Linked DNA regions of Alligator mississippiensis. The protein of the gene in region 1 interacts with the protein of each later gene in a biochemical or structural test. Links are inferred from orthologs where the notes say so. Each region holds a gene or a part of one and is shown in the gene's direction. Other genes may lie near its edges.

Region 1 (12,260 bases):
TCCTCCCATCAAACACAGTAACAACTACAGCTGCCGCTCATCCTGTAACAATAACCAAGCAAGTAACCAACCCAAAGGGTGCAACCACCACCACCACCCTTAACGTCATCAAAGCATGCATAAAAATTTATGAAAAAGAGGATACCATCAACCTTCGCCTTCTCCTCAACCTGCTCGTTACTCAGCCAGCAAAAAATCTTTTAAGTCAACTTTCACAACTGCAAGCCCTTATAAAGTCAGCAACCGCAAACTCAGCCATTGCCCTAAGCTATCTTACTGCATATCCAGTCAAACATCAAAAGCCAAAACATTCCCAATTCAACTTACGAAAGGAATCAAAACTGCCACCCCAGAGGACACCACAGAAAAAAGCCATGTTTGGGTTCCTCCTAAACCACTTCACGCTTACCAAACAACGGCTACACGTCCTAAAAAATGCGAAATAACAACAACTGGCACATATACTAGGCTACCAATCTCAACCGATCCTGCCAACTGGTCCAGGCCCCGGAGGCACCCACGCCTAACAGCACACTCCGGATAACACCGCAGCCTGCCCTAACAAAAAACTACTTGAAGGGGGCATCTATGAACTAGCGCTTCAAAAGCCCCAACCATAAAAGCCAAAGCTCACCCGTAAACACCACACCATCGTCAACCACATCCGCGAGTGCACAAAAAAGTCATCTGCAAACCCAAGCAGTATCCTGGCTCCTACTCTGTGCTCCTAAAAGGCGATCAAACTTGGTCGCTCATCATAGCTCATCACAACTGGCTAACTCGCCGCCATGCTGTTCACCGAGTATGGCCACCCTTTTCTTCGTTTGTTTGTCTGTTCGTCTGTTTTGTCCCCTTACAGGCCCAGCAAAAATGAAAAAGCAATCTGTAACTGCCTAATCGCAAAAATCACCAACCACCAACCTGCAACACACCCGGGTCAACGCCACAATGGCTGCCTGCTCATATGTCACAAAGCAGGGTCGTCGCTCTATTCCTGCAGTTACCAACAAATTTCTCGGCGAACAAAGCTAACTTCAAAACCTCCAACTCGGTCCTAAACCTTTTGTCATTGTAGGCCAAAAACACAAGTAACGATTCATTTTATGGTTTTTCTTTTCCTGTTAATAATCTTGTACATATTTGTTTTGTTTTAAAGCCTGTTCAAAACTTTATGCAGTGAAGCCAAGTCATAATGTTTTGAGTGGAAAGCTCTGAATTATTAAAAAAACCCAGCATTAATAATCTGAAGGTTTGGGGGATGTCGCAAAAAGGTCGAGTGTAAACAAAAGCATTAAATGAAAGAGAAAAAAAAATTTGCCTTTTTAGTTTGGTTTCTTAACTAAAACACGAGAGAGCACAAAAAACAAATGTAAAGGCTTATTATATGTCGTAGGTGGATGAAGGACAGGAAGTGTCAAATCGTTAAAAAAAAAGCAAGTAGTAATGTATAACAAGGTTAATGCGTTTCAACAGTCTTAAACAAAAAAATAAAAAAAATTGCAAAAAACGCCAAACCAACTCTCGGGTATAGGCCAAAGTTGGCTATCAAACCTCTTCCGTTGGTTTGGGTGTAACACGTGATCATGGTTCCTCAACTTGTTAATACCCTTCATTATGCTTTTGTTATCAATTGCTATATTTGTGTGTTTTAGCTGTTGAAATTTACAATATCTCAAAACAAAGTTAACCATGCTTTTTGCTTTTGTATACACCCGCTTGCCAAATACTAACAATGATAAACAAAATGGTCTGTACATAAACATGATGTTACTTGCTGTGCCATGGGCAAGAGGGCATGTCTCAACCAAATTAAGTAGTGCCCATGTCACAAACAAGTAATAACCATTTAAAAAAGTTTTTTCTGCACTAGGTTAACTAAGGGTTAACAATAATGATAGTAACCGCTTTTTTCTGCGCATGTCAAAAAGAAATTTATTGCTGCGCCACTAACAGAGAGAAAAACTTTTGCCTTCTTTGCTTTATATAAATCATTATAATTGGTCAAAGAAAACAAGGAGTAACCCTGTGAAAATAACACCCTAGCAAAGACCGCTAGATAATTGGCGATTCTAATTAGATTTATGACGTGGCGAAAAACAATTGGCTATCATACAAACAAAACCCGCTTACATTTTTCGCAAAGTCGAAAACAACTCTGCCCACACCTTGGAGTAAATCTGACAATTTGATCAGTTGTCAGCGTCTTCCCGCCGCGACCTCCCTGGCATACCCTTGCCCCGCATGCCCAATAAGCCGACCGCCGGCCCGTATATATATATCTGCAGAATAACTAAACAACGATCTCTAAGCTGTAACTAACTAAGTATCTCTAACCTCCGTCTTACATCACCTTGACGTAAGTAAACAATCTTGCTTTGCAACCGATAAGCGTCTGCCTAATTAATTCCACTCCACGCATCACAAGTACCCGCCTAACGGCCTTCTAAGGCCCCGAACCCTTATCTGCTCGGGTGGGAGTCAGGGAAAGCTGCTGGCCGGCTGCCCTGGGTCCCAACAATATACAATCCAAAACAATGTGATTACCCCCCAGGAGAGAATACAGTAACTAAATGGACTCTACTCCAACACTGAAGTGCTTTCAGTCCAGTATCAAAACACATAAGGTGCACATTTTCACAGGAGCTGACATGAGTGATCATGATCTTCTCATATTGCCAATAATGATCAAACTCAAGAGGAAACCCCAGCAAGAAATCCCAGGTTAAAAGCATGATCTGGGCAAGCTACAGGACAGTCTGACCCAGGGGTGGGCAAGATGCAGCCCGTGGGCCAGATGTGATCCACCAGGTGGTCCTCTCTGGCCCACAGGGCCCCTAAAAATTTCAGAAAATAAATATTTATCTGCCCCTGGCTGCCTGTCATGTGGCCCTCGATGGCTTGCCAAAACTCAGTAAGTGGCCCTCTGCCCAAAATAACTGCCTGTCCCTGGTCTGACCTGAGCCGAGTTTCTAGACAAATTAAGATAAGAGTTGCCTGTCTCGATGGTGGAAGATTTCAAGGAAACAACAGCTGGCTTCAGGTAATATCTAAACCAAATTGTGCAAGTTCTAGGAAGACCAGAGAAGACAAGGCAGCCATGGGGTATCCTCTAGATCTATGAGATTAGAGAAGGGAACTAAAACCTAAATGCTACTGTTGAAGAAAGGAAGCAGAGAATTAGAGCCTGACTAGCAATATCATACAAAAATTTTGCAGAGTAAAGGAAAACCGAATAAACAGATGGAGTCAAAACACTGAATACAACTGATTGAAAAACAACATTAACAGGGTACATGGTATAATAAACGAATAGACTATGAAACAGGAAAAAGCATCTGTGACTAAAGACAAAAATAGGCATCTTCAGACAGAGGCGAAAGTAGTTGCAGACAGATGGCAGGAGCACAGTGAGGACCTATACAGACACAGTCTACATATTGTTCCTAACATCTGCAACAGTCTAGCAAGTGAATAACACAGAGAAGAGGATTTGTCCATATTCAGAAAAGCCAAAGAAGTTTGAAATCTTAAAATGGTAAGTCAGGATGAATAGACACTATATCTGCTGAAATGCAAAAAAAGGGGAGAGATGCCATTGTTGTAAAATTGTTACAAATTTTTACAATTTTGTAAAATTGTTACAATATATGCAGCATGATCAGGCAGTCAGAGAGGTGACCAGTGGGCCACCTATGGAAATCATTCCATGTTCCCCAGGGAACCTTCAAATGTGAAAAAATACACTACAAACGTAGATGCCAAGTATTACCATGCATCCTTCTAAACAAGCTAGGTTTCAAGTAGAAATCTTACCTGGAGAACAATAAGCATGTTTCAGAGCTGAACAACAGGAAATATCTTCTCCTTAAGAGCACAGAGTGAAACATACGTAGAACACCATAGACTCCAAGAAGTATGGAGTCCATCCATAGCAAGGGGTATTATGGGTAAGAAGCAAAACATCAGCAAACGAATAGTGACAGCCCACTGCAACAATGCAGTCATTGCAGATTAGCACACCAAGTGACTGGTTCCATGCAACAGTTGGAATCAGACAGGGATTTTGCTTATTGCTATGTTTGTTCAACTCTGCCCAGAATGTATTGTGTCAGAAGTCATCAAAGAATTTGAAAGGGACAGCTAACAGTAGGAAGAAGATGTGTAACTTCAATTTTGCAAATGATGTTGATTTGATAAGAACAGAACTACAACTAGTAAAGCCAACAGGAAGCCTAGATAATCCTGCATGAAAGTTAGCACAGATGCAAGCTTCTTAATGTTTGTGGGAAATTCTATATTCAATCAGAAATTTACTCCAAAGGTAAGAAAATCAAACCAGTGGATGTATTCAAGTACATCAGAACTTCTATAACAAAAGATAGAAAATGGAAAGCGGAATTGCTGTTATGACTGTAGCACTAACAAAACTGAAAGAAAGCTTGAGAGACAAAAACATATGAAATGCATCTAGACAGAACTTCTTAAAATGACTGAGTTCTCAAAAGGATTGAAAACGTGGATTCTTACAGCAGCAACAGGATAATGAATTCAAGGTTTTGAATTCTGTTGTCTCCAAAGAGTTCTGTAGATACCATATAGCATATCTATGGACTAAGAACTCTATTAGAGAAGCAGCAATTCAATAATTGAATTATTTGAGCTCCTAGTTGCAACAGTAGGAAGACAGGACTGCTCTGGCCACACGACCAGAATAGCAGTCCTAGCAAACACAATTCTTCAGGGAACAACTGAAGAGGAAAGGAAGAGAGGTCACTCAGACATAACCGGGCACAAAAATATCACCTTCTAATGGGATTCACAGGCAAAGCCTCTCAAAGCCGTTGAAGAGTAGCTTGAGATTACAATTAGTGTTGTAGATTCATGCCCCACTGACCGAGTCACTCACAGGATAGAGAAGAAAGGTTGTCATTTCTCCTAACAGTAGGGGCCAGAGGTATAAATGCTTAATAGTGGTCTAAACCAGAGTTTCTCAACCTGTGGGTCGCGACATAAAAGTGGATTGCAATATATGAAAGGGTCACAGACAAACTTTAAAAATGGATTCTCCTTTAAAGGAGAAAAACATGGGAAACCATGGGTTTCCCCATGCAGGCTGGCAGAGTTCCAGCCTGCAAGGGACTGCTTTGGGCTGGGGGGAGTGAAAGGAGGGTGATCAGACAGGGGCATTATGTGCGTATGTGTGCACAGGCATGCACATGGGAGCCAGGCAGTGTGGAGAGCAGCTCCCGTAGCTTCCCACAGGTCAGTCTATGGGGCAGAGGGCAGGGGACGGGACATAGACGGCACATCGGGGAGACAGGGGGAGCAGAGGTGACACATAAGAGAGGCATGGGTGGGCACATGCTCTCCCCCCTGCCCCGGATTTGTACACCCACAACAGGCATGGGGCTGCAGACTTGCTGGACTGGCACAAGGAGAGCCACCTCTGTGGCCCAGTGGACAGGACCCAGAGTGGTGAAGCAGAGTGGGGTAGTGAGACTTGTTATTGCTGCCACCACTGCTGGGCCCCCCATACCAGCCATGCTGCCAGCAGCATAAGGACTAACAGACTTGGGGGCTGCACTGCCCTCACCTCCTCTCACTGCCAGCCGCTCGGGCGCCAGATCCTGGCTCTATCTTGCTGTCATGGCCTGGCCACTGCCACTGTGGCTCTACCCCGGAGGGGAAGTGGGGTGGTGGACAGCATGGGTGGCCTGAGGGAAGCTGCAGGAGCGGTGGTCAGGGCCTGGCAGCTGGGTAGAGTAGAGGCCCGGCCTGAGAGTGGGTGGTGGTGGGAGGAGGTGAGGTGTGTGTCCGTCCCATCCATTACTCCTTGCATTGCTTGTGCCATGACTGGTTCAGGAGTCCCGGTGGCAGTGGAGGCTTCAGTGAGTTTCACCATCCCACTCTGTTTTCCCACATAGAGTCCCACCAGGGCAGCTCCTGCCAATGCCAGTCTGGCCAGGCTGTAGCCCCATGCCTGCCGTGGGTGCACAAATCTGAGGAGAAATGTGCCCCCCCTGCCCCCCCTCCCCCACACACTGGGGAACTGGAGCCTGGGAGCAGTGGGTCAGGAGTGAGGGGCACCAGCAGGGCTGGGGCAGTGGGGGGGTGATGGACACTGGCAGGGCCAGGCAGTTGTTTTCTACTTAAACTATTTACTGAGTTGGGACTGGCCATCAATATTTACAAATGGGTCTCGATACAAGAAAGGTTGAGAACCACAGCTCTAAACCATAAAGTTAATTTTCCCTGGTTTATGTCCCCGAGATGACTCTGCCTTTCCTTTCTTTTTTGCAGGCCAAATGCTTGTCCCACATTTTAGATATTTCTATCGTCACAAAATGCACAAGAAATGCTATTATTTGCTCCAGGCCTATGCAAAGCAAGAGTGGCTGTTGTTTTTTCACTTCCATATATGCTTCTAAACTCCCTTTCTGTTTTACTGTGGGGATGCCACAAACCCTGTGAGTCTTATCAATTTCTTTTATTTTATTAGATTATTAACAGTTCCTCGACAGATTAAAATTCTGATATGCCTAACAGCAAAAACCTTTCAAATACATTTGCATGTCTGCCGTAGTCTTGGAGGGAAGCTGCAGTTCTAGAGTTTCGCATTTCTTTTTGAATGCAGTGCATTCTTCTTCAGGTCTCCTGCATTTGAAAGCTTGTCTCTCCCAACCATGCAGTTAGTCCAGTAAAACGTATCACCCACAAAAATCCTTGCCTCTGTGCCTGTCTGTATGCTTCATCTCCATGTCGGTGCTGCTCCTTGCTGGTAACCTAGGAGAGTTTTACAGCTCTGGAGCATGGCTGGAGTTTTACAGCTCTTCCTCCCCTAAATACCTGGGCCAGTGGCTGTCAACCTTCAAGGCTAGGTTGGAGACAGCCCTCAGAAGATGCTGGTTCTTCTTCCACTACAGAAAAGTAACAGAGCAGCGGTTCCCAAACTCACCACCCATTTAAAAGGATACAAAGTACCACCAGCAATTTTTTCAGTTCAATCTGAAGTACCACCAGCAAATGTTTGTCGTATGAAGTAATTATAATAAAGCTGTTAATATAATTATATGTTATAATATAATACCGCAGATGGGGAACCGCTGTACTTGTGCCATTCTATTGCAAAGCACTTAGAAAAAGCAGAATGTTTTTGGCACTGAAATCTCTCTGGCTTTCTCTTGTGAATCAGATCTGCCCGGCTCCCCTTGCCAACAGGCTGAGCACCCTTGACAGGATCTCCAGGCCCCGCAGGCGTCCCCTGCTCGGGTCTCAGCGCGCTAGGCGACGAGGGGCGGGGCTGGGGCGGGGCGGGCACACGTGGGGGCCTCCTCGGGCAATCCCCCCACGTTCCTTCCGGGTTCGGGCCCCGCCCCTCGCTTGTGACGTCACAGGAGTCCCAGGGCTCCGGCCGGGTGCGCTGCGATGTCGCTGCTGCCGGGCGCCGCGGCGGGGTCCCTGCCCCTCGGCCGCCTCGGGGAGCCGCTGCTGCGGCGGCTCAGCGCCCTGCTGGACCGCGCCGCGCCGGGCAAGGGCTGGAGGGACCTGGCGCAGCGGGCGGGGACCCACGGCAGGGTCCGGCTCAGGTGAGGCGCGGGCGGAGCGAGGGGCCACCTCGCCTCGTCCTCATTTCTGGTGGGCCAGCGAGCCCCAGGCGCTTCCGGCCCCCAGGGAGGGTTGTCTGGCTTGCGCTCTGAAACCCTCCAGGGGCTGAGGTCCGGCGGTGGTCCCTTTCCAGGGCTGCCTCCTTACAGGTTGTTTTCCTAACGTCTGACCTAACTCCCCCTTGCTGCCGATTCAGTTTCTTCCCCTCCTTCCTGGTAGCGGGCGTGGAGAGCAGCTGGTCTTTTACCTCTTGGATCATTGTTATCTTCCCCCGAAAGGGGACTCAGGGGGGCGTGGGGGGAAGGTTGTCCCTGCTCCTCACACTCCAGTCATGGGGGGATGGTTGTTGTCCCTCCCACATCTGCCCTTTTCTAGACTCCCCAACCCCAGTTCCTGCAGCCTCCCCCCATGGATCACGCTGTGTACTTCTTGTTACTCTCCTCCAGCTAGTTTCTTTATATCTTGCTTGCCTGGTGGTGCCCTCCAAAACAGGAGTCCTGGTGGCAGTGGAGGCTTCAATGAGTTTCACCATCCCACTCCAGGGTCAGCACAAAGTAAAGTGAACATGTCTCCTTTGAAGCATGTGCACATATGTTAAAGAGCCACAGCTTTGAGCTATAATTACTGTTCTCGAGTCTCCAGCCACAGTAGTGTGGTTGTACTGAAGGAAGCGCCTTATCTGTTAATGCACAAAAATGGAAATGAATTGTACTTGGGTAGAAGAACTTTCAGTGAAACTTTCTTGTGGTGACATGTGACTCGATATAATCTTTCCATCAATATGTTCCTCCTCTAGTTCTTTGTGTTTTGAAAATTGTTGTTACAGTCCTGTCTCTGATTAGAAAGAGCTCTGTGGGCCTAAAAACAAAGGTTAAATGTATGAGTCTCTTTACATCCGGCTTTACAGATTTACAGTAGGACGGAGTTGCATATTGGCAAGTGGCAAACATTGACTGAATTTACTCTTAAGCTATTGAACATCTTAAAGATCTTACCATCAGCACAGAAATGCAAAGTCTTCCTGGAACCATAGGTGAAATCCTGAGTGGGTGACTCATTCTTTACTTGTTTCTGAAGTAGGTGTGCCGTAAATGGAAAGGTAGTCTGTGATCACTTTTTAAATTCTCATCCGAAAAACTGAAGTCCTGCCTACATGTTTAGGAGCCTACCTGATGTATTTGGTTAGAATTTTAAGATACACAGATCCCTTGTGCTTTGTTAACTGGTTCATTTAGTTTCCACCTTCTACTTCAAGTGGTTTCATTTAAGCCACAGTATGTGATTTATACACAGATTACAACTGCTTTGAAATCCGATTGGGATTGGGATAAATCGGGGGCATTAGAGATATGGCTGGTGGGCTGGATCTGGTCTGCAGAGCCATATCATCCGGCCTGTAGGGCTCCTGGGAATTCAGGGGCATGGGGCCCACTGCTGAATTCCAGGGTATAGAGGTTTGTTGGGGACTCCTGTCAGTCGTGGTGGAGTGAGTGACAGCTAAATTAATCCCCGTACCTTCCTGAATTGACAGTCTTGCTTGCACAATGCCTCTATTGCTCGTCCAGTCACTAGAGATGAGTCCATGGTCTTCCTGCTTTACCTGTGGGTAGGTTAGGGTGTTATGTCTCATAGTTGGGCCAGGGCTGACTGTAGTTTTGCTCATGGGCTAGAGAATGAATTGTATAAAATGGCTTGGATGGGAATGATCTTGCTTCAAGCAGAGTATGAACTAGATGACATCTGGAGGTCCCTTCCAGCCTTACTTTTCTATGATTCACCTTGAAAGGAGCCCTGGGGCCCAGATGAATTTAACACCCCTGCTCAGCATGCTTCCAGAAGACGTAAATGATTTCCCAATGGGTTATAATTCACTTCTTAAAGAGGATTAGAAATGTACATTGAGAAGACCCTTTACGTAATTGGTTTCTTTTTCATGCTTGCAGTTCTCTGGATTTGGAACAATGCTCTCTCAAAGTCCTGGAGCCAGAAGGAAGCCCGAGCTGGAGTCTTCTGAGACTAATGGGTGAAAGGGGCTGCACTGTGCTGGAGTTGGTGGAATTCTTGCAGGCCCTGGAACACACAGAAGCTCTCCAGTGCCTTAATCCCCCAGGTCAGTTCTGGTTTTTCAATTCATCACTTGCCTTTGCTGGAAATCATCTTGAGATGTGTGTGTGTTCCTTGTGGGGAGTAGAAGAATTTCTAGTTAAACGTTGTAACAACTACAGATGAGTTTCTAGTTAAACACTACAAACATTTCTGATTTGGAAATCAAATCAGCTTCCATAATCAGTGTGTTTCATTCATTAAGTGTCTTTTGAAGTTATTTTTTAAATAGAAGATCCAGAGTGATTAACTTGCTTGGAACAGAGGAAGCAAAACAGGGTTGGAAAAAATCTGTTGTGAAGTGTGTGTGTGTGTGCACGTGCACGCACGTGCTTTGAGAGCAGAGATAGTCAGTTTGCTTACTTATTTATCTTAAAAGTTGGCTTTTACTACTGCAGTTAGAGCCACACACAGCTTTGGGAAGTTGGTTTCTTCTTGTGTTATATGAAGGAGATCCAACCTGGGTTGTAACGTCCTGCCCCCATGCACGTTGTTTTTGCTGGGGTGTATATGAGTTTTGAACCCAGACTTCCTTTTTTGAGTACTGTAAAATCAAGGACTCAGAAAAGAATATATACCCTAATGTAATTTCATTAATTCTGAATGCTGATCATAAGTTACACTGGAACTGGGAATGGCCAGGGGAGCAGCTGTTTTGGAATAGTTTACAGAGTAGGTGGCTGTAGCTGTGCCTTGGCACTGTATGGGGGAGCAAGCCCTGGCCTGCTGGCTTGTGTCAGATGGCTATCCTGTGATGCGCTTGGGTAGATGAAACCTAAGGTGGTGGTATTTACATTGATTCCTAGGTAAATGCTCACTGGGTTGGATGGCTCTTCTGTTTTAGGAGCTTGTCAGCTGTCTATTGTTGTTTTTTTCACACTTGTGTAACACTGATTACACTGCTTTAAATGTTTCATCTGCCTGTGCTCAGTCACTTACCACTTACTAAGTGGTATTTAATCTAGTTTTCTGTCTATGCTGCTGGCATGACCTTCTCATTGAATCATACCTTTGCCTTCTCAGGGTGAGAAGGTACTACTAAAATGTTTCATGCCTTCTACCTGCTTTCAGTTGCAGAAATGGATGTTGCTTTAATGTAGATGGCTGGAACAGGTCGTGATTCTGTGCTGTATCCATGCTTTGGCAACAGCTGGAACAGTAACTGTTGAAAAACATGAGAAGCATGCAGAGGCAGAATTACTTTTGTTAACTGAGTTTTTTAGGCTGAGGGTCTTTTCACGTAGACCCCTGGAAAAGCAGAAAAGTTGGCCAAAAATTTGCTGTGAAACAGTTAGTAGAGCAGCACAACTTGGTGCAATGCTAAGAACAAAGCAATCTTAGTGTCTACCCCATGTTAGAGCAGTACCAGTGTGAACATGCCTAAGTGGATATGACGTGGGAATACCTTAGCAGTGTAGATGCTCATGCCCTGCTTAGCTAAGTGAGGTGTCTGGGTTCAGGTGAAATCTGCAGTTACCCTAAGTTGCATGTAGATGGCCAGTGGTGTTTTCAAATAAGTGACTAAAAATAGGCAGTTGATTAGTCATGTGATCAGTCATGTTAGTCTGAAATTGGGCAGGGTGGCACCTGGGACTAACTGGTTCTGAGAGGCATGAGTTTTCCTAGGGAACAGCTACCTTGAGATGCTAGGAATTGTCCGTTTCCTCTAAGGTGCAGCCCTGCCCTGCCCTGCCCTAGCTTTTACCAGTTATTCGCTCAGTTATGCATTTAAATCAGCAGTGAGACAGGCTACGCCAGCAGTCAGCAACCTTTTAAGGCTGTGTGCTGGATTGATTTTGACACAGTTTGGACCAGAAGAGGCTGCTGATGCTTTTCCCAGTGGCAACAAGTGGAGAACAACTGCTGCCGAAGCCCTTATGTCCAGGGATCAAATGGCTCTGTTAACTGGATCCCATGGGCCATAGGCTTCCAACCCCTGGGTTAAGCTGAGGACAGTTTGAGGGAGTCGTCATTGCACACGTGAAACTGAATTCAGTGTTTGTGAAGAATCTTTGTGATCCTGGTGGTTTTTCTGACCTAGTGGCACACTGGTTGTTTGCTGGTGGCAGCTGAGAGGCTGCTGCTTTGAGCACAGCTGGCTTTACCATGTAAAGGGACTTGACTGTTCCTTCTGTCTTGAAAATGAAAAAGAGCTGTTGTACCATCCTTGGTTTCACTGAGGTCTGTGATTGTTTTGGGTTCTGCAATTCCTCTGATGGCTGCTATTAGCACCATCTAGCATTTCATCATTTTGTAATCTAGCAAGAACCCTCTACCCATCACAGCAGTTTAGGCTGCCTGTTGATCTACTGGGGCACTTGTACACATGATGGAGTTTAATCCTCATTAAATTAAATTAAATGGACTCTGGCACCTCTATTGTTGTGATGCATGGCAAATTCTCAGTGTTACCATTTATAAAGCTTTGCCACCATTTCCTCTTTTAAATTCATCTTTGGAACCTTCTCTGATGCCAGCAAATCATTCACGTCCAACCAGGACTTCTGCTTTCCTGCTAAATTATATCCTTTTGTTACCTCGTTTTACTAGTA
Region 2 (12,208 bases), on another chromosome or scaffold:
CTTCTCCAATCAGGTTGCAGCCAGCGCTGCCCACTGAGGCTCCGGAAGGGGTTGGAGGACTTTGTTCCACGACAGACTTTGGATCCTTCTTCACGGCTGCTAAAGTCTGTGAGAAAGCATGACTGGCTCCTTAGGAGGAGAGCGGGTCACTTGCTCCCTGCAGAAATTGCACTCCTTTGAGGCTGCCAAACACTGCAGAAACCAATTGCTGACTTTCCTTGCGTTACAGGGGTGCAAACCTACAGCGCCAGTGCCACGGAGCCCAGGCAGCCTCCGTGTGGGGAGATGCAGCAGACAGGGGGCAGGCAGCACAGTGGGAGATGGGGTGGGAAGTAGACAGCAAAGCAGCAAGTGTGGCAGGGAGCAGACGGCAAAGAGCAGAGCACTGAGGAGCATGGGACAGATGGCAGAGCAGCAGATTACGCCATTCCTGACCATGAGCCAATGCCCAGACAGGGCTACAGGTCCCTTTAATAAGGGCAGGGGGAACTAAAGGCCCACCAGCGAAGGCTGGGGACAAATACGATACAACACAGAGATGGGAGGGGAGGTTGGTAACGAGCGCACCGAGCACGGACACGCTGGACAGTGCCCAAGGAGCCAGCGGGTGCTGCCCGGCGAGGACAGGAAACGGCCCCGCGGCCCCCAGGGTCCTTGCGGCCACAGCCTCCCTCCCGGGCAGGCAGATGGTGGCTGGGCCAGGAGCAGGCCGAGCCAGAGGTGCTGTGGCTTGCGAGGGCCACGGGCAGGGCAAGTGCACGCAGACAGGTGATGGGCGGCAGTGCAGGGGCTGCAGCCCCGCGCCCCCCAGGGCCTCCCCCGCTCACAGCAGGGGCAGGGGCAGGGGCCGGCACCACCGCAAACCGTGCCAGGGACGCGCCTGCGGCTCTGGCCAGACGAGGTCCCGAGGGCACCGGGGATCCAGGTGGAAGAGGGGCCGCCCGCCCGCCGGTCCGCGCGCGAGGAGGCACGAGGGGCTGGGGAGCAGTCGATGGGCCGGGGCGCAGCGCCGAGCGGTGAACGGGGAAGGGCAGCACAAAAAGGGGGGCCGAGCGCCGAGCGGGGCCCGGGGGGGCACAGGGCAGGGAGCCGAGCGCCGAGCGGGGGAGGGGCCGGGGGCACAGGGTAGGGAGCCGAGCGCCGAGCACTGGATGGGCCGGGGGCACGGGGCGCGGGGCCGAGTCTCACCGGAAGAGCACGCCCTTGATGACCTGCCAGGCGTTGGGCGCCGCAGGCGGCGGCTGCTGCGGCGGCGGGGCCGTCCCGTTACTCGTCACCTGCGGGGAGACGCGCTGTAATCCGGGGGCCGGGCCGGGCCGGGCCGGGCCGAGGGAAGGAGAGGGGAAAGGAGGGGGGGGGCGCTACCTGTTCCGGGCCGGGCACGGGACCCACCGCCCCCTCCGTCTCCGGCGCCGCCATCTTGCTGCGCCCAGGCCCCGAGCCGCTCTCGCGAGAACTGCCCCCGCCATGCCCCGCCCGCGCGACGCGCCGCTTCCGGGGCAAGGGACGCCATTTCCGGCCGCGGGGCGTAGGGGCGGGGCCTGCAAGGCTGCAGCAGGCGCCACGTGGGAGGATCCCCTGCGACGCCCGGGGGCTGGCACGTGACGTCATCCCTGTCCTGGGCTTGTGTCAGACCCAGCGCGGCCTAGAGCTGGGGTCAGGGGCCGGGCTCTCCCGGGGCATCCGGAGCCTCCACTGCCAGCCTCTGCGAGCGCCAGCACAGGGAGGCTGTAGCCTCTGTCCCGGGCAGGACAGGGCAGGCCTGGTCGTTTCGCTCACAGGCCGAGGGTGTCCAGGCTGGCTCGCACGGGGCCAGTCCTGCCTCAGCCCGGGCTGCTCCGGACGCGGAGCCCCTCGAGTGCGGCCGTTCCCACGCCGGGTGTCGCAGCCTCTGGTGTAACCAACCTCCCCCTCCCCCTCGTCTTCACGCTGCCCCACGAGCCCCGGTCTCCTCTGCTTCCCTGCACCCCGCGTTGCCGGAGGCGGGAGAGGCCACAGGCAGCCCTGCTCTGGCTGGGCAAACCGAGGGAGATCCCGGCCCTGGCAGCAGGAGCTCATTTGAGTCGGGTGTCGCAACTCCCAGAGCCAAAGCTTGGCCCCATTTGATGGGGGTGTTGCCCTGACACCAGTGCCAGGGGTGGGAGAGGTGGCCGTGACACCTGGGGAGGCTGAGGCCAGCTCAAACTAGTGCCAGGGTCTGCGGACAAAGGGAGAGTGAGCTCAGTGCCAACATTTACAGAAATACCCAGATTTTTGGTGTCACGTGTTCTGCACGAAGCCCACGCAGCCTGGGCTGCGAGCACAGCGGAAGATGGGCAGCGTCGCGGTTAAGGACGAGGCTTGCTCGTGGCTCAAAGGCCAGTTTTTCTTAGTGCAGCCATTTAGATGTTCCTGAAAACCGCTCTGCCTTGCGAGGCTCTGCAGCCAGGCTAGCAAGTCAGACAGGGCCTTCTCGCGCACGGCTCCCCGTCCTGCCAAGCCAGGTGCCATCATAGAAGAGCCACGTCGCTTTTTGGTGCACAGTGTGGGTGGATGCAGGATTTTGAACAGTGGGGTGTGACGCACGTTTGTGTCTAGTTAAAGAAAAACTAGAGGCTTAACTAAGATGAATATACCTCCTCTGCTCGCACTTGTAGGGAGGCAGTTAGGCGGGCCAAGGCTACCATGGAGCTGAGGATGGCAACCCAAGTAAAGGACAACAAGAAATTGTTTTTTAGATACATAGGGAGTAAAAGGAAGGCCCAGGGAGGAATAGGACTGCTGCTAAATGGGCAGAAGCAATTGGTGACAGACAGGGGGGACAAGGCTGAACTCCTCAACGAGGTCTTTGCCTCAGTGTCCCTAAGCGAGGGGCACGACAAGTCTCTCACTGGGGTTGCAGAGAGGCAGCAGCAAGGCGCCAGACTGCCATGCGTAGACCCTGAGATGGTGCAGAGTCACTTGGAAGAACTGGATGCCTTTAAGTCGGCAGGCCCAGATGGGCTCCATCCGAGGGTGCTGAAGGCACTGGCCGACATCACTGCAGAGCCACTGGCGGGAATATTCGAACGCTCATGGCGCACGGGCCAAGTCCCGGAGGACTGGAAAAGGGCTAACGTGGTCCCCATTTTCAAGAAGGGGAGGAAGGAGGACCCGGGCAACTATAGGCCGGTCAGTCTCACCTCCATCCTAGGCAAAGTCTTTGAAAAAATTATCAAGGCTCACATTTGTGAGAGCCCGGCAGGGCAGATTATGCTGAGGGGAAACCAGCACGGGTTTGTGGCGGGCAGATCGTGCCTGACCAACCTAGTCTCTTTCTATGACCAGGTTACGAAACGCCTGGACACAGGAGGAGGGGTGGATGTTGTATACTTAGACTTCAGGAAGGCCTTCGATACGGTATCCCACCCCATACTGGTGAACAAGTTAAGAGGCTGTGACGTGGATGACTGCACGGTCCGGTGGGTGGCGAATTGGCTAGAGGGTTGCACCCAGAGAGTCGTGGTAGATGGGTCGGTCTCGACCTGGAAGGGTGTGGGCAGTGGGGTCCCGCAGGGCTCGGTCCTTGGACCGATACTCTTTAATGTCTTCATCAGCGACTTGGACGAGGGAGTCAAATGTACTCTGTCCAAGTTTGCAGACGACACAAAGCTATGGGGAGAAGTGGACACGCCGGAGGGCAGGGAACAGCTGCAGGCAGACCTGGATAGGCTGGACAAGTGGGCAGAAAACAACAGGATGCAGTTCAACAAGGAGAAATGCAAAGTGCTGCACCTAGGGAGGAAAAATGTCCAGCACACCTACAGCCTAGGGAATGACCTGCTGGGTGGCACAGAGGTGGAGAGGGATCTTGGAGTCCTGGTGGACTCCAAGATGAACATGAGCCAGCAGTGTGACGAAGCCATCAGAAAAGCCAATGGCACTTTATCGTGCATCAGCAGATGCATGACGAATAGGTCCAAGGAGGTGATACTTCCCCTCTATCGGGCGCTGGTCAGACCGCAGTTGGAGTACTGCGTGCAGTTCTGGGCACCACACTTCAAGAAGGATGCGGATAACCTGGAGAGGGTCCAGAGAAGGGCCACTCGTATGGTTAAGGGCCTGCAGACCAAGCCCTACGAGGAGAGACTAGAGAAACTGGACCTTTTCAGCCTCCGCAAGAGAAGGGTGAGAGGCGACCTTGTGGCTGCCTATAAGTTCATCATGGGGGCACAGAAGGGAATTGGTGAGGTTTTATTCACCAAGGCGCCCCTGGGGGTTACAAGAAATAATGGCCACAAGCTAGCAGACAGCAGATTTAGATTGGACATTAGGAAGAACTTCTTCACAGTTCGAGTGGCCAAGGTCTGGAACAGGCTCCCAAGGGAGGTGGTGCTCTCCCCTACCCTGGGGGTCTTCAAGAGGAGGTTAGATGAGTATCTAGCTGGGGTCATCTAGACCCAGCACTCTTTCCTGCTTATGCAGGGGGTCGGACTTGATGATCTATTGAGGTCCCTTCCGACCCTAACATCTATGAATCTATGAAGATGCCAGGGACCTAGCACTGTGTTATTCTGTTTAAGATTAAAGCAAAAACAAATGTCATTTTTCCATGATTTAAATGAAACACCACTAATATATAGGTAGCTATATATTAGTGGTGTTTCATTTAAATCATGGAAAAAATGTTGATTTGGGGGTTGGTTTTTTAACCGAAAATGGGGGATTTTTTTTAAATCAGTGAAAACCAGGATCCCTGGTCATTAGTCTTGTAGCTTTTATAGTTAAATATGCATTTCTTACCCAGATTTGTAAAACAACATGTAGTATCCCTGAGCATCTTAACATCGTCTCCAGTACTTCACTGTGTCAGTCATTTCTAGACAAGTCAATCGCACTACCTCTGAGTTAAAATTTTCAGCTTGAACTAAAAACAGCCTACAGGGCTGCAAAATGGGAGAGAAGTTCCAGGAATGGCTAACAGGCATCAGTGCTGCAGAAGGAAGGAGAGTTTGAATAGTGAAACCTCAGGACTGTTCACAGGGAGAGAGTGGTTCACACCTGTGGAATGAAGAGCTATTAGGAGAGTATAATGGGCCATGAAGTCAGTTGATTCCCTCAGCTCTGCCAGAGGAGAAATGCCTCTGAGCTACCTGCAGCTACAGCCCTCCCCGGCCTTGCATCAGTGGAGGCAGGCTGGGCTCACTTAGTCCAGAGGCAGCTCAGATGCAGCCCCCTCTGCCCAAGGAAGTGACTGGGGAAAGCGCCACTCTGTGCCACGTACGTGCTCTGGGAGCCCAGCACGATGGTGCTGCCAGATGGGACAGGGAGGCTGGTCTCTGAGGTCATTTGATTTAGTGGTTCTCGGCCTTCTGCTATGATCAAGTATGACTGGGGGCATCCGATCCCCAGGCCTCCTGGCTCAGGACTTGTCTGTAGCTTGGCCACCTGGATACGGGGAACATCTAGACTCCCAGGTCTATGGGTCTGGGGGAGGTTGTCAGTGGGTGGCCCATGGATCTTTGCAGACAGTTACTGAGACGCAGAACTGAATTGGCACTTGGATTAGATTAAGAACTGGATTCATTTGCCCCCCCCTCCCCCCCCCGACACACACATTACACAAGGTCTCTGATGCAGGCGCCTGGTGCAAGGTTCTGCAGTGTGGTTGCAACCAAGGGGGTGTCAGATCCAGCTTCCTCATTGGGAGTTGATTTTCTGGTCACCTGTGCCTGGTGAGCCAGTCTGGAAGCTGGTCCCCCCTCCATGGGCTGGGTGGGGAGAGTGGGTTGGGGGTGGGAAGGAGGCAGGCCATGCTTCTCAGAGCACCTCCGAGCCTCCCGGGAGATCAGAGCGGCATGTGCTCTCCGCTGCAGAACCTGTGTGTGCCCCTCCCACGCCAGGGAAAGTGGAGGCTGGGGCTCCTTGGCTGGTTACCAGTCAGTGTTTCCAGGTCCCCCGGACTCCACGTGCTGACTCAGGCTGGGGCACTGCCTCGTGGCACCCTTCCCCCATGCCCCGTCCGCCCACCCACCCTCATTCCCAGGCCCTTCTGGCTTCACCGGGGGCTGAGGAACCAGCTGTGCCTTCTAGTCCTGTGCTGCTCTCACCTCTTCCCAAGGCACAGGGGAACTGAGAGCCCAGAGCCTCGGTGAGCGCTGAGCTCGGGTGTTGAGCATGGCTTTGCCCCCCAGGGCAGTCAGGGCACTTGGATCCCAGCACCGGAGCCAGGAGCTCTGCTGCTCTCTGCTGTGCCAGCTCAAGGCAAGAACGGCCTGCCGCGGCTCCCTGGACAGGTATCATGGGCTGCGGCTGCGGTGGGCACGAGGCTGCCCTGACCCCCAGCTGGCTACGTCTGGTGTCTGCTGCCCCAGGGACTGCGGGGCGGCCAGGCGTTCCCAGCCCTGCTGACACGGCCCTGGGGAGACGCCGCCTGCACTGGGCTCCGTCCTGCCGTGCTCGCAAGGGCCCACCGCTCAGCCCAGGGCACAGCCTGTGTGTGCCCCGTGCCCGTGTCCGTGTCCGGGCTCGGCTGCCCCATGCCCTGCCCAGGGCCAGGGCACAGCTGCCCCGCTCCCCGGCGTTCAGGAGCTCCGGCCCGGAGCCCCCGGCCCCGGCGGCCGTGCATCGGGCTCCGGTTCCCCTGGCGCGGGGGCGCGAGGCTGCGGCGGCCCCCCGGGCGCGGGGCTTTCCCCGCCGGGCGATGAGCTCAGCGCGGGGCGCAGCCAATGGCAGCGGCGGCGGAGCCGGGGATTTCCAGCGCCGCCGCCTCCGCGCTGCCCCCGGCGCGGCCCGGCGCGGCCCGGCCCGGCTCGGCGCGGCACGGCGCGGCGCGGCGCGGCTCGGGAGGCGATGCGGCAGCCCCGGGGGCGGCAGCAGCGGCGGGAGCGGGGGCCTCTGCCGCCAGGTGAGGCGCGGGGCCGCTGGGCGGCGGGCGCGGGGCCGCCCCGGGCAGGCGCGGGGTAACGGGCCTCGTGTCTCCGCAGGAGCCGCCGCCCCGGACCGCGGCCCGGCCATGGCGCAGGCGTCGCACGCGGACGGTGAGGGCCGGGGGCTCCGCTTCGCGCCGCGCCGCGCGGCCCCGTTTCACAGCAGGGGGGACTGAGGCAGGCAGCTCCCGGGGCGGAGGAGCTTTTGCTCCGGGGCCGCGGGCATCTCGGGCCCTCTGCATGCCCCCTGGCCCCCGCAGCAGAGGGATCCTGGGGGCTTCCTGCGCTGCCCCACGACAGCCTCAGCCCCCGTCCCCAGGAGCTCTCCCAGAGCAGGGGCAGCGCCGGGCGCTGGGCTTGGTGCCCGGGGGCTCCTGCCAGCCCTGGGTCCTGGCGGGTGGCTGGGCTCCTGGGCAGGGGGAGGGAGAGCAGCCGCCTGCGCCAAACTAGAGCCAGCCTCTCCTTTCTCTTCTGCAGAGGATTTAGGTGAGTGACCTCTGGGCGTGGGGGTGCGGCAGGAGCAGGTACGTGCAGCCCTGGGGCTTGCCAGGGCGGTCGCAGCCTGCGGGACCCGCTGGCTGGCGTGACGGTGACAGGGGACGGCGGTGCAGTCTGTGGGGTCGGGGCAGCTTCCAGCCCCTGCGCCCCCCTGCCCAGAGCCCAGGCCAGGGGACCCGTAGGTGCTGCCAGCTGCTGCAAGGCCATGGAGACGGGAGAAGCTTGCCGGCCCCCGCGGAGCCCTGGGGTCTGGGCAGGAGTGATTCCCCCGATGCGGCTCCACCTCTGCCTTCGGGCCTGTCCTCTTGGTGCCATGATGCAGGAGCTGGGCTGGGGCAGAGGAGCCCTACCCTAGGCAGACACGGAGCAAAGGCCACTCGCTGGCTGCCGCAGGTGCTGGCAGCGCCCTTTGCTGGGCGCTCGGGGAAGCGAGGCTGTGCCCAGCCCCTGCCCCTTCTCCTTCCACATCCACCTGGCAGCAGAAGCCTTGGCCGACTCAGCCTGGCTCCCCTGGGCTGGGTATGCCCTTGCCTGCAGTTCAGGCCAGCGACCCTGGCGCGCAGTTACTGACTGCTGTCGCAGGGCTTCATCTACACTAGGGGAGGAGTGTCCTGCTGGGAGGTGTTGGGTGGGGCCCGGGACTACTTCTAGCAGTGCCCTGGGCATGCCCATGCTGCAGCAGCCAGGCTGGAAGATGCCCCCCTCCCTCCCTCCCTGAGATTGAGTCCCTGGATCAGCTCCCCTGCTGCAGGGGCTGGGTGGTGCTGGAGCTCAGGCCAGCGGCTTTGCCCACATCTGTTACCTGGCAGCAGGCACGTGCCGGGAGGAAGGCGGGCATTGTGGCAGTGTGTGCAGGGCAGGGCTCAGAGGCCAGGGTGGGCAGCCCTGTGCATGGCTGTGGCTGGCAGAGGGCTCCTGCCACCACATCCCAATGCTGCCTGTGACTCGTGCCAACCCCTGGCTGCTCCCGCTGCCCCCGGGCAAGTCTCTGCAGCTGTGCCCTGATGGTGCCCCCCCCACCACAGAGATCATTGAGGAGCTGATGAAGGAGGATGGATTCCAGCCGGATGCCCCGTCCTTCCTGCCCAGGCCTATGCCCAAGGGCCCGGCCAAGTTGGTGCCCCGGGGCTCGAGCCCCATGGTGCCCACGAGATCGCTGCGCCACTCACAGCCTCTGGGGTCCGGCTCGCTGCCAGGGACTCTGGGGCCCTTTGGAGACTCCCCCCTGCTGCCACCTGTCTCCCGGGGCCCCCAGCTCACCCAGAGCCTGGGCAACCTGACGCTGTCGCCGAGGCTGGTGCCACGGGGGACGCCGCTCCCGTCCACCGCCGCGCCCGCCCAGCACCACTGGTCCATGCCCACGGCCAAGGAGCAGCTGGAGGACATGCTGGAGCCGCCCAAGCTGGTGATCACAGAGCAGCCGAAGCAGCGGGGCATGCGCTTCCGCTATGAGTGTGAGGGCCGGTCAGCTGGCAGCATCCTGGGCGAGAGTAGCACTGAGGCCAGCAAGACCCTGCCAGCCATCGAGGTGAGGAGGGGGCAGGGCACTGGGCAGGGGCCCTGTGCTCACCCCCTGCCCCCAATAGCTCCTGCTGGACAGCCAGGCAGGCCTGGCTGGGTTACCCCTCCTCCCCTCCCACCCCCACGATGGGGTAGGACCCTGGACCCAGGCACCATCACATCTCCCCCAGCCAGGGGCAAGTGTGGGGGCACCTCTGGACCCTGTGCTCCACTTTCTCGTACAATGAGAACTGGACTTCCCGCTGGAACAGGGCTGAGCTGTTTGGCCTGGCCTGGCCGCAGGGGACCCAACCTGCCCTGGGAGAGGGGCTGGGAGCCCCCTGTCCAGGGTGGGGGCCTGGTTTCTCTCCCTGTTATCCCTGTATCAGCCTCCCCCACCCCATCCCCCTGCAATGAGCCTCTGGCGTCTCCCCAGTTGCTGAACTGCCAGAAGATCCCAGAGGTGAAGGTGACGGCCTGCCTGGTGTGGAAGGACTGGCCGTTCCGTATCCACCCCCACGGCCTTGTGGGCAAGGACTGCAGCAATGGGCTCTGCGAGGTCACCCTCAAGCCCCAGACCAACCCCAAGCACAGGTACCAGCCGCGCAGCCCTGGGGGTTGGGAGACTCCTCCACATGGCCCCGTCCCGGGGGTGGCCTAGGCTCGGTATCTGGGGCCCTTGGACAGTCGTGGCCTGACAGCGATTTCCCAGTGCTGTGGCTTCTTCCTCGCTGTTCCCTGCCCTTGGGCTAGAACGGAGCCCCTGGCACCCCAGCCCCTGTCTGCTGGAGGAGCCGGAGCTGCGGTGCCCCGGGCTCCGTCCCGCTGGCTGGGGACCAAGCACCTCCCAGGAGCTGCTGCCAGGGGTTGGGGTGGGAGAGCCAGGTGGTTCGGGGTCCTGGCCCTGGGACCAGAGCAGCCCCTCCTAGGTTGCAGCCTAGGGGCACACACCAAGCCAGGGGGCCCCATGCGGAGGTGGAGGCCTGTCCAGGCAGGGCAGAGGCATGGGTACAGGGTCGGAGGGGCCTGGGGGTGTCCCCGTGAGGCCTTGGTGGGCTCCCAGATCCCCTCAGAGCTCCTCCCACCTGGCCTCTCAGCTGGCTGCCATGTGGGGAAGGTGAAGGGGCCCTGTGGAGCTGGGGCCAGGCAGAAGGTGGGGACTGGGCATCCCCGTGTCTCTCTCTGGGCCTGGGAGAGCTCTGAAGGAGGCAGAGGGATCGGAGGAGGAGCCCCAGGGGGAACCATGCTCAGTAGTGGCTGGACCAGTGGGGCCAGGGCTGGGGCTGGCATGGCCCCTGGGTGCTACATGGCAGCACCCCATGCAGTGGTGCCCCCTCCGTGGCTGAGGGCAGGGAAGGAGGGCAGCTCATGAGCACAACGGAGCTTGGCCAGCCTCCAGCCCATGCCCTCTTGGCCCTGGCAGCTTCAGCAATCTCGGCATCCAGTGTGTGAAGAAGAAGGAGATCGAGGGAGCCATCGAGAAGAAGCTACAGCTGGGCATCGACCCCTTCAAAGGTGGGTGACCCGGGGGGGGGGGGGGGGGGCACACCCGCTGCCTGCAACCCAGCCCAGCCCAGGAGCTCCGAGGGGATCTGGGAGCCCACCAAGGTCCCATGGGGACACCCCCAGGCCCCTCTGACCCTGTGCCCTGCATCCCAGAGCTCCTCTGCTGGCCTGGCCCCACCCCGGGTTTGCAGGGGGTGTTGCGCACCTGGTTCTGGAGGCAGGATGTGGAGCGGGTGGGTGGCACAGTCGAGTCGTAGCTCAGGGCTTGCAGCTGTCTGGATTGGGACCATGGGGCTGGACAGTCTCACTCTCCTGGTCCGGAATTGCTTTTTCCTTTGCGGGGAGGAGGTCCCCAGGCTCCAGAGGGACCCACGGCCTCCCCTCCCACTGGAAAGGGGGCAGGGACGGTCACGTTGGGGCCATCCAGGGTGGGGGGAGACCCTGTGCTGCAGCTGGGGGTGGGGGCACTCACTCAGCAGCCCCACTCGCTGCGTCTCCCCCCACAGCTGGCTCCCTGAAGAATCACCAGGAGGTGGACATGAACGTGGTGCGGATCTGCTTCCAGGCTTCCTATCGCGACGCCAGCGGGCAGACACGGCACTTCAGCCCCGTGCTCTCCGAGCCCATCTTTGACAAGAGTAAGTGGCCAGGGTGGGGGCTGGAGGGTGGCTGGGCAGGCTAGGGGCTGTGGCCGTGGCCTGCCTGGTACCTCGGCTTCTTGTGTGGGTCCCACGCGCAGGCAGTATCTGCTCGCCTGGCTGGCAGCTGCTTTCCTGTGTGTCCTGGCCCCCATACTGCTCATGGCAGACAGATGCTCCCATGCACTGGAGCACAACCTGGGGGATCGTGGTTCGCCACGGGTTTTGGACAGGCCTGTCCTGGTGCGGCTGGGGCTGCTCCCTCAGGCTAGGCTCCCATGCCATACCGCTGCCTCTGCTTGAGCCTGTGTTGGTGCACACAGAGTCCACCAACACGTCGGAGCTGCGCATCTGCCGCATGAACAAGGAGTGCGGGCCCTGCGCGGGTGGGGAGGAGATGTACCTGCTCTGCGATAAGGTCCAGAAAGGCAAGTGGGGGACTACAGCTCAGCCTCGCTGCCCTGGGTGGGGGGTCCTGGCGGAGGGGACAGCTCCAGCTGCAGCTCAGAGGAGGGGTGGGAGCCCGTCGAGGGGGCCTGGAGCTGGGGTCAGGAGGGTGGTGGGGTGTGGGGGGTGAAAGGGGGTCCCCCAGCTGCCTGTGAGGGACTTGGGGACTGCAAAGCCCCAGCTACAGCTGGGCGCAGGGAAGAGACGGGAGGTGTCCGAGCTGCCTGCATCTGGTGCCCAGGCCTGGACCCGTTCCTGGGGGGGCCGGGCCAGCCCCATCTGCTGGGAGGGGTGCAGAGGTCCATGTGCCCCTGCCCAGCCTGGCCCTGTTGCCCCCTCACCCCACACCCCCTGCAGAGGACATCGCTGTCATCTTCCGGAAGGATACCTGGGAGGCCAAGGCCGACTTCTCGCAGGCCGACGTGCACCGCCAGGTCGCCATCGTCTTCAAGACACCCCCATACCAGCACCTGGACATCCCTGAGCCTGTGGAGGTGGCCGTGTTCCTGCAACGCCTGACTGACAGTGTCTGCAGCGAGCCCTTCCCCTTCACCTACCTGCCCAAGGACCACGGTAACCCCCGCCCTGGGATCGGCACCCCAGTCACGGCCCCCTGAGAGTGGGAGAGGGGCACAGAGCCCCCGTGCAAGGGTGCTAGCATGCAGTCCCTGCGGGTAGCAGCCTCCTGCACTCGGGCAGGGGACAGGCTGGGTCTGGCTGACACCCTGCTCG

What was found.
Region 2: of the proteins of MALT1 (region 1) and RELB, one has a biochemical effect on the other in vitro, tested with the Homo sapiens proteins (2 studies listed by BioGRID). The link is inferred for Alligator mississippiensis from reciprocal best matches to the Homo sapiens genes MALT1 and RELB.

What each region holds. Positions count from the first base shown.
Region 1 is NC_081826.1:282,800,516-282,812,775, reverse strand, and holds the start of MALT1 (mucosa-associated lymphoid tissue lymphoma translocation protein 1), read left to right. Parts: upstream 1-7,395; 5' UTR 7,396-7,425; coding exon 7,426-7,586; intron 7,587-9,548; coding exon 9,549-9,715; intron 9,716-12,260. UniProt on the Homo sapiens protein: Protease that enhances BCL10-induced activation: acts via formation of CBM complexes that channel adaptive and innate immune signaling downstream of CARD domain-containing proteins (CARD9, CARD11 and CARD14) to activate NF-kappa-B and MAP kinase p38 pathways which stimulate expression of genes encoding pro-inflammatory cytokines and chemokines.
Region 2 is NC_081838.1:224,517-236,724, forward strand, and holds the start of RELB (transcription factor RelB), read left to right. Parts: upstream 1-6,736; 5' UTR 6,737-6,810; coding exon 6,811-6,865; intron 6,866-6,944; coding exon 6,945-6,998; intron 6,999-7,364; coding exon 7,365-7,373; intron 7,374-8,410; coding exon 8,411-8,913; intron 8,914-9,321; coding exon 9,322-9,479; intron 9,480-10,308; coding exon 10,309-10,400; intron 10,401-10,897; coding exon 10,898-11,029; intron 11,030-11,352; coding exon 11,353-11,457; intron 11,458-11,833; coding exon 11,834-12,049; intron 12,050-12,208. Other genes in the region: putative lipid scramblase CLPTM1, read right to left, coding at 1,189-1,277, 1,366-1,611.